Schizosaccharomyces pombe: one gene and its partner. Changing the gene in region 1 together with any one later gene gives a genetic interaction. Each region holds a gene or a part of one and is shown on either strand. Other genes may lie near its edges.

What was found.
Region 2: of hpt1 (region 1) and apt1, changing one enhances a phenotype caused by changing the other (phenotypic enhancement), as found in Schizosaccharomyces pombe (one study listed by BioGRID).

The regions. Positions count from the first base shown.
Region 1 is NC_003424.3:2,154,821-2,158,511, reverse strand, and holds hpt1 (xanthine phosphoribosyltransferase), read left to right. Parts: upstream 1-1,994; 5' UTR 1,995-2,055; coding exon 2,056-2,189; intron 2,190-2,463; coding exon 2,464-2,950; 3' UTR 2,951-3,138; downstream 3,139-3,691. Other genes in the region: hcn1 (anaphase-promoting complex TPR lobe accessory factor subunit Hcn1/Apc12), read right to left, coding at 3,475-3,691. UniProt on the Schizosaccharomyces pombe protein: Converts guanine to guanosine monophosphate, and hypoxanthine to inosine monophosphate. Transfers the 5-phosphoribosyl group from 5-phosphoribosylpyrophosphate onto the purine.
Region 2 is NC_003424.3:4,081,597-4,085,144, forward strand, and holds apt1 (adenine phosphoribosyltransferase), read left to right. Parts: upstream 1-2,059; 5' UTR 2,060-2,089; coding exon 2,090-2,173; intron 2,174-2,213; exon of another isoform or gene 2,214-2,351; coding exon 2,352-2,834; 3' UTR 2,835-3,000; downstream 3,001-3,548. Other genes in the region: ted1 (phosphoprotein phosphatase), read right to left, coding at 1-1,179; alpha mannosidase Mnl1, read right to left, coding at 3,424-3,548.

The sequences.
Region 1 (3,691 bases):
TAAATTAAAAAGGAGGCTTTTGAGAAGTAAGCGGTGAAGAAAAAATAAAATCACACGTTGACTACTATTAGTCTGCTTTAACAAAGTTTTGTAAGTGACTGGCCACTAATCGCGTTTACCACAAAAGGAACTAACAAAGACTACCTTTTGAAATTTTCTTTCAATTCGGTGTTAAGAATAAACGCACAAATTAGTCAAAATAGTTAGAAGATCAAATTTTGCGATCGAAAATATTTATCTGATAATAATTGATATCGTAAAAGTGACTATTATTATTCGTAATCAGATACAACGAATTACAGAGTATCGCAGTAATAAACGAGTTAATTATAAGCAATATGCACACATATTTGGATCGTCCTTTCTATGATTTTTTGGGTAATGAGTGAGCGACAAGATCGTACTTGGTAATTTGATTGATATTTCGTCGAATAGGTTCTACCGCTTTACCAAAAGTAATTAGTTAATAAAGCTAATACTTGGTATCAATTTTTGGGTAAACTTCTATAGGTAAAAAAAAAATGATTTACGTTGATTAAATGTGCCACGTTCCACTTTTAAAAGCCGAAAACGTTTGAAATTGCATATTTATATTATTTTTAATAGCTCAATATTCCATTCATACGCTTGCTTTATGCAACGCCAATCATTGTTTATTGAAAGATACCATCATTTCTTGTAGCTCACAGAAACTTGGCCGAACGGCTGTTTAGAAGTAAATAAATAAGGAATTGAAAATGATCCTAGATGTTTCAACTATTTTTAGCTATTACTGGGTTTGCTTAATAATTTGATTAAACGCCATAAAATATATTAAAAAGGTCTTTCTATTTGTTGTTTATAGCAGTGGTTTGTTCTCAAAACTTACAATGTTTTATGATCTTCGTTCATAAACGAGCATTCTCTCTCCCCAGATTTCGCTAGTAATAAGCTAAATATATCAAGTAATTTTAATATTATGAGTGAATGCATACAAAAAAGAAATGCTTCGAAAATAAAACTCTTTCTAAAAGGAAAATCTAGTGATGTTGAAGAGCTTTTCATAATTATACTGTCAACATAGCAGCATTGTTAATGTTTTGAATGAAAGCCTGATGTCAGAGGGTTTTCTTTTAAAAAAATTTTTATATATATATATATATATATACATGATTATTAATAAAACAAAAAGAATAAGAACATTCTCAATCATCCTGTTCATTATATTTCCTTCTTTTCATTCTCAAATGACAAATAAATAGTTCATTTATCAATAACTCATGGTCTCCACCATATCTAAAAATCACCAGTTAGTGTAAGATTGAAGTAAGCATGTGTCTCGATATTTACTACGTATGCTGCGTTATCTACTTTTTGGCTGGTTACAAGTGATTAGATATTTACAAATTCGCTGCACTATCTACTTGTACAATCCCCCTTGTACCGTTTTTTAGGTAATGCGTCTAATCCTTCCCAGAACTACGAGGCTTCGGATGAGACACCTATGTGATGACTGACTGCATCGGTTCTTCAAACGGCACTGAATAATCCAAAACCTTTCTTGTTACGAGTACATTTGAGTAATGTACCGCAGTTAATTGCCCAGGCAAAAATTGAGCTATATTAATTTTGCTATAATTATACAAAAAGTAAACAGTAAAATTGAAACCTAAAGCATTATATACATATAATAAATCTTATCAGACATGCTAGCTGATATACCTTTTAATATATTTTTAACAACGAAATGATGGGTTTTGAAAAGTATTAAACATCTAGAAAATCAATATAAAGAACATTTACATATGTAATGGCCTTCATAGATAACTGAAATCGTTTTAAACATCATATTCTTTGCTAGACACCGTCTGGTCGGTGTTAGAATATCCCTAACTAACCACCATAGAGGGTAGGGTTAGTGACTTTTTCCTATCAGTAATTTAACGAGATTACCTTAAGGAACGCTTAAATTGTCAAAAGTACATAAATATCAAAAGAACGTATTTCCCCCGTTCACGTTTACACCTTTATCGTTCCCTTCATTTTTTGGTTGTTTCATTTTGTTCTTAAGTTATTATGGATCCCGTTCGTCTTTATTACAGCTACAATGACATTCATAAGATGTGTGCTCAACAGGCAGAAAAAATTTTGGAAACCTTTCGTCCTGATGTGATTATAGCCATTGGAGGTGGTGGATTCATTCCGGCTAGGTAAGTTGAACAAATAAAGAAGATAACAGGAAGAAGCGCTTCCTATAACGGCCTACTGCGTTAAAATTTGAATGGCAGCATCTTTGTGATTTCACAAATGATTGATTTTAACAATGCTTATCCACGATAAGGATTTTAAGGCTTTTATGTATGATCTTTTCAAAAGGACGCATCGTTTACCTGCATTTTCAATTGAGCCCAAGAATCCATCGTGGTGCATTCAAATTCCTTGCTCTTCTTATCTTCATATGGTTAACATTTGCTAATATAACAGAATCCTTCGTACTTTCCTTAAGAAAAAAGGAAGCAAAAATATTCCCATTCAAGCCATTGGTCTCAGCCTGTATGAAGAGCTTGTTTCTGATTCCCCTGAAGAAGTTCCTGGGCTTGAAGTTAAGCGAACTCAATGGCTTGATTTTAGTACTCTTGGAATGGTTGATCTCGTTGGCAAGAACATTCTAATTGTTGACGAGGTAGATGATACTCGTACCACTCTCCATTATGCTCTTCGCGAGCTTCAAAGAGATGTTGCCGAGCAAGCTAAGAAGCTTAACCGTGAAGGAGAGAAGACCACATTTGGTATTTTTGTTGTCCATAATAAGGTTAAACCAAAAAATGCTCAATTGGATAAGGAGATTTTGGATAAATATTACTTTACTGGTTGCAATACTCCCGACTGCTGGATCATGTATCCTTGGGAAGCTCAAGACATTGAGGAGCATGACAGTCATGTTGCAAAAATGGGGGATTTGAAGCCATAGATTGGAGTCTCGTGTTTTGTAAACTATAGTGAGCTTTTCGAATTTACTCTTAATTATTAATTCGCAAACTATCTATTTGATCCACACGCCTTCACCTCTTTCCTAAAGCCCACTTTTTTTTTTGTCGACATGCATATACATATATAGATTTGATAAATTTTGCGAATAACCTTTATAAATACTCTTGGTAACAATAGAAATGAAATAGCTTGACAATTTGATATGGGTAAGAATTTAAGTTGAATAATTGATGGAGTGAAGCATTAGGATAAATGTATGCAAGATTAAAGTTAATGAGACTGGTCATTGTTTAACGAAAACTTCACTGTTCTATCAATCGATGTATATCTTACTAATTAAATTAACATAGACAGTGTAGTCCATATTATGATGGCCGATTAAAATAGTTATATGTAAAGATCAGCAGTATGGAGGCAGGTGTGAAATGCTAACAAAACAGTGCAAATCGAAAAAATGTGGGCTAACGATTATTTGATGATTTAATTATGATTTAGTTTCACGGTCTATGATTGAGCGGCTCCACCTTGGGAAGGATGCATTGAAGAATCAAATATTTGAGTAATTCCAATCCTTCTTTCACGAATAATTTTCTTCTTTTCAGGCGATAAACGTGTTGACTCTTCGTTTTTCTGCAATGCTTCTTCTGTTGTTGACTCGGAATCAAGCGTTTGTCTTAGCTTTTCTTCGTCATATGCAAGAACATCTTCAGCAGTAATTTGT
Region 2 (3,548 bases), 1.9 Mb from region 1:
ATATATGTCGGAACTGAATTTTGACTGTTTCAATGAAGCCTTCTTCCATCGTTGGCCAATGAGTTTTTGAATCAGAAATGTAACAACCGAGGGTGTGTTCTTGGAGGACTCTGTAAGAACATCATTTGTCGCGATCAGTTTGACAAAACCAATATTTCCTCCAAAGTACCCCATTGCGCTGGGTAATGTATGTTCGATGGCACCGTTCGGGTGTTCGTAGTCACAACCCATATGATCATGGCCAGAAAGGACCAATTTGATGCTAGGAATCAATTCAAAAATTTTCATAGTAGTATTATACGATAAATGATTTTGAGACTTGACCCGAAAATCCAATTGACGAACGATTCTCGGTTCGTCAACACACACATTAGCTGGTTTGTAGAGTGGCACATGGGTGAACAGTATGGTTGGAATAGACGGCTCTAAAGCAATGTCGAAAAGAAATTGCCAAGCATCCCTAGCTTCTTTTGAAAGAGCAAGTATACCTAATGATGAAAAACTTTTACTGTTAATAATATCGCTAGGGTTCGCATCGTAAAACTGAACATCATCAAGCGAAAGGCTATTTATGCCGATCACACGGACAGGAAATTTAGAAACATTGAAGTGCGAAACCCAATTTACCGGGCCCATAGCTTGTTCCCATTTGCTAATTTGTGCGTCTGAACTTTCGCAGCCATAGCCAATGTCATGATTACCCGCAATCGTCCAAACGGGAATGTTACCGTTTTCAAAAGTACGTGCTGGTAAACTGGAGTTTCCTACTTGCCAAAAGTTTTTTGCCCCAGTGATTTTTTTCAGTCTTTTAGCTCTTTTGTTGAATTCTTCGTTATCCAAGTGCTGAAAACTGACCAAGTCACCCAACAGAATCATCGCATCTGGTTGACCCCAAAACTGATTCATATGTACAAGGTGTCGTAAAAACAAATCATTCCCCCAAAGATCTAAAGTGCCTTTAAAAAATCCATTTGCTTCGATTTTATGATTCCCTTCAATCTGAGGATCAGCAACCCCCATAATAACAAAAGAATTTTCATCTTCGAGTTGCAGCTTTCTTGGCATTATGCCAAATAGTAGAGGATAGGCATAGTAGACAGCTAAAAAAACTAGGCAAAGATAATGTAAAATAGACAGTTGTTTGTTCAACCATAATAAATTCGGATGTCTTGCAAACATTATTGACTTAATTATGTCAACGTAAATTAAAAAAGGGAACGGAGAGAAGGAGCGATTTTTGGAGTGCCTATTTTTACTTAGGAGCAGACTAAACGAGTAATGTAGAGGCGTAAGATTTTGGTTTTTGCTTTACTTACTAGATTATATAAATGGTATACCACCATAAAAGTGTCAATAAAGCTTTTTAGAAAGATTTGCTTTCAAATAACAAGAAATGAGCAGAACAGAATAGAAAAACAAAAAGCACAAATGAAACAACAAAACTTATTTTTCTAATCCATGAAGCTAGTAAATGGGTAATTTATAGGTATAGCTGCAGTATTCGAACAAACCCACTGCTAAAATTTAGATTGCAAATCAATGGTCAAATGATTGATTCAAAATTCCTGAAAAAGAAGCTTGGTTCTTAGAAAAATGTGTATCGATGTTTGCCGTTGAAATTTTTTTCTGAATTGAATTAATACCAAGTGTATCAGTATAACTGGCTTAAACAAATTAAAAAATAAGCTTTCTACTGAATGTAATAGCAAAAAACGGCTAATAATCTTGACCGAAGTTTGTTTAATGATGAACAACGGATATGACTGAAATTGCTTGAAGTGTATATCAAACTAAAGAAGGAATACCTCAAAACATGGAGTTGTGGCTGACAGTTTTCACGAAGAAAGGAATGGAAAAGAGCGTCGAATTTCAAACATAAACGTTTCTTTTAGAGCTCGTCTTAGCTGCCAAAGTTAACCCGGTACACTACTTAGTATTAATAGGTGAATTATGACTGACGTTTTTTACATTAAACGGATGGTAACATGTTACTTGAAAACAGCAGTCCAAAATTTTCGCTGCATAGACGGTAACGGAAATTGAGTATTTATTTTTTTTTGTAGAAGTTTTTACATAGCAATTTACTAAAATGTCCGACGATAGAATCAATTACCTTAAGAATAAACTTGTTCAATATCCAGATTTTCCCAAAAAGGGAATCTTGTTTGAAGATGTAAGATTTTATAGAAGGAGGAAATGCGCGAGGTTGGATAGGAACGGTGATATTATTTTGCTCAATTAGCGTGAAGTTTGAATCCAAAATACAATTCGAGAGGTTATATTATCTTTACGCCTTGCAATTGCTTAAATACTCTGTTAAATTATAAACAATAAGATGCTAATGTTATTAGATAATGCCCATTTTTCAAGATCCCAGAGCCTTTGGCATCCTTATCGATCTTTTGCTTGAAGCCGTTGAAACTGAATTCAATAACATTGATGTGATTGTTGGTTTGGAGGCGCGTGGATTTCTTTTTGGACCTACGTTGGCTTTACGTGCAAATTGTGCATTTGTCCCTGTCCGTAAGCCCAACAAGCTTCCCGGTGATTTGGTCGTCGTAAGCTACAATAAGGAATATTCTACTGATTCTTTTGCAATCCAAAAGGGTACTATTAAACCCGGTCAAAGAGTCTTAATAGTTGACGACATTCTTGCTACTGGTGGCACCGCCTTGGCTGCTGATGAACTCGTTACTCGTTTGGGTGGTGAATTAGTTGGACATCTCTTCCTTTTAGAACTTACATTTCTTCAAGGACGTAAGCGTCTTATGGCTCCTACTTATACACTTCTTACTGGACAGGATGAAGCACCTGATGGTAGTGAATTTGCTTAAACTATGAACTCGAAGTATGTATAAGCATTTCTAATTTTTAACGTTATATTTGCTTTATTCCTTTTTTATAAATGTTTAGGGTTCTGGGTTTTTTTCTATGGTTTATTCGTCAAGCTAGGATTTTTTTAGTCTAAGTTGTAAATTGAATAAGTTATACATTTTTCAACTAGTATTCTAAAAAGTAGGATTTTTGTTAGCAAATATATATAAATCGGGTGGAAATCGATATCTTAAAATGAAAAAAAAGAAAAAAGGATGCAACATCATAAGGAGAAAAGCTTATAAGGGTCATAAAGGGTATAATTTTTAGAATGGTCAATACCACGCTTTTCTTTAATATAAATAGGTAGATACATTCAGCTTATTATAAGCCTATTGACGAATCCACGTTATAATATAGCCCTCGATTAAAAGTATAATTACAAGAGAAAGCTGAATTATCCAAATATACTTTTATTAAGTATTGAATGGATAAACATCTATAGGCTTTGAAATCACGCAGCACAAATATTTTTTAAATAGTAAAAAGCATATATGACCGCAAGTCTATACACATGCGTAAATAAAAAATCACAAAACAGCGTTATTCCTAGCTGTTTATGCATTTCAGACACAAATATAGGTTTGAAACTGGAGTTCCTTGGAAGTACGAAGGGGCGTCAAAGTCTGATTGACGCACAGAGACGTTGGCCCATTTAGAAACAAAATTGTTTT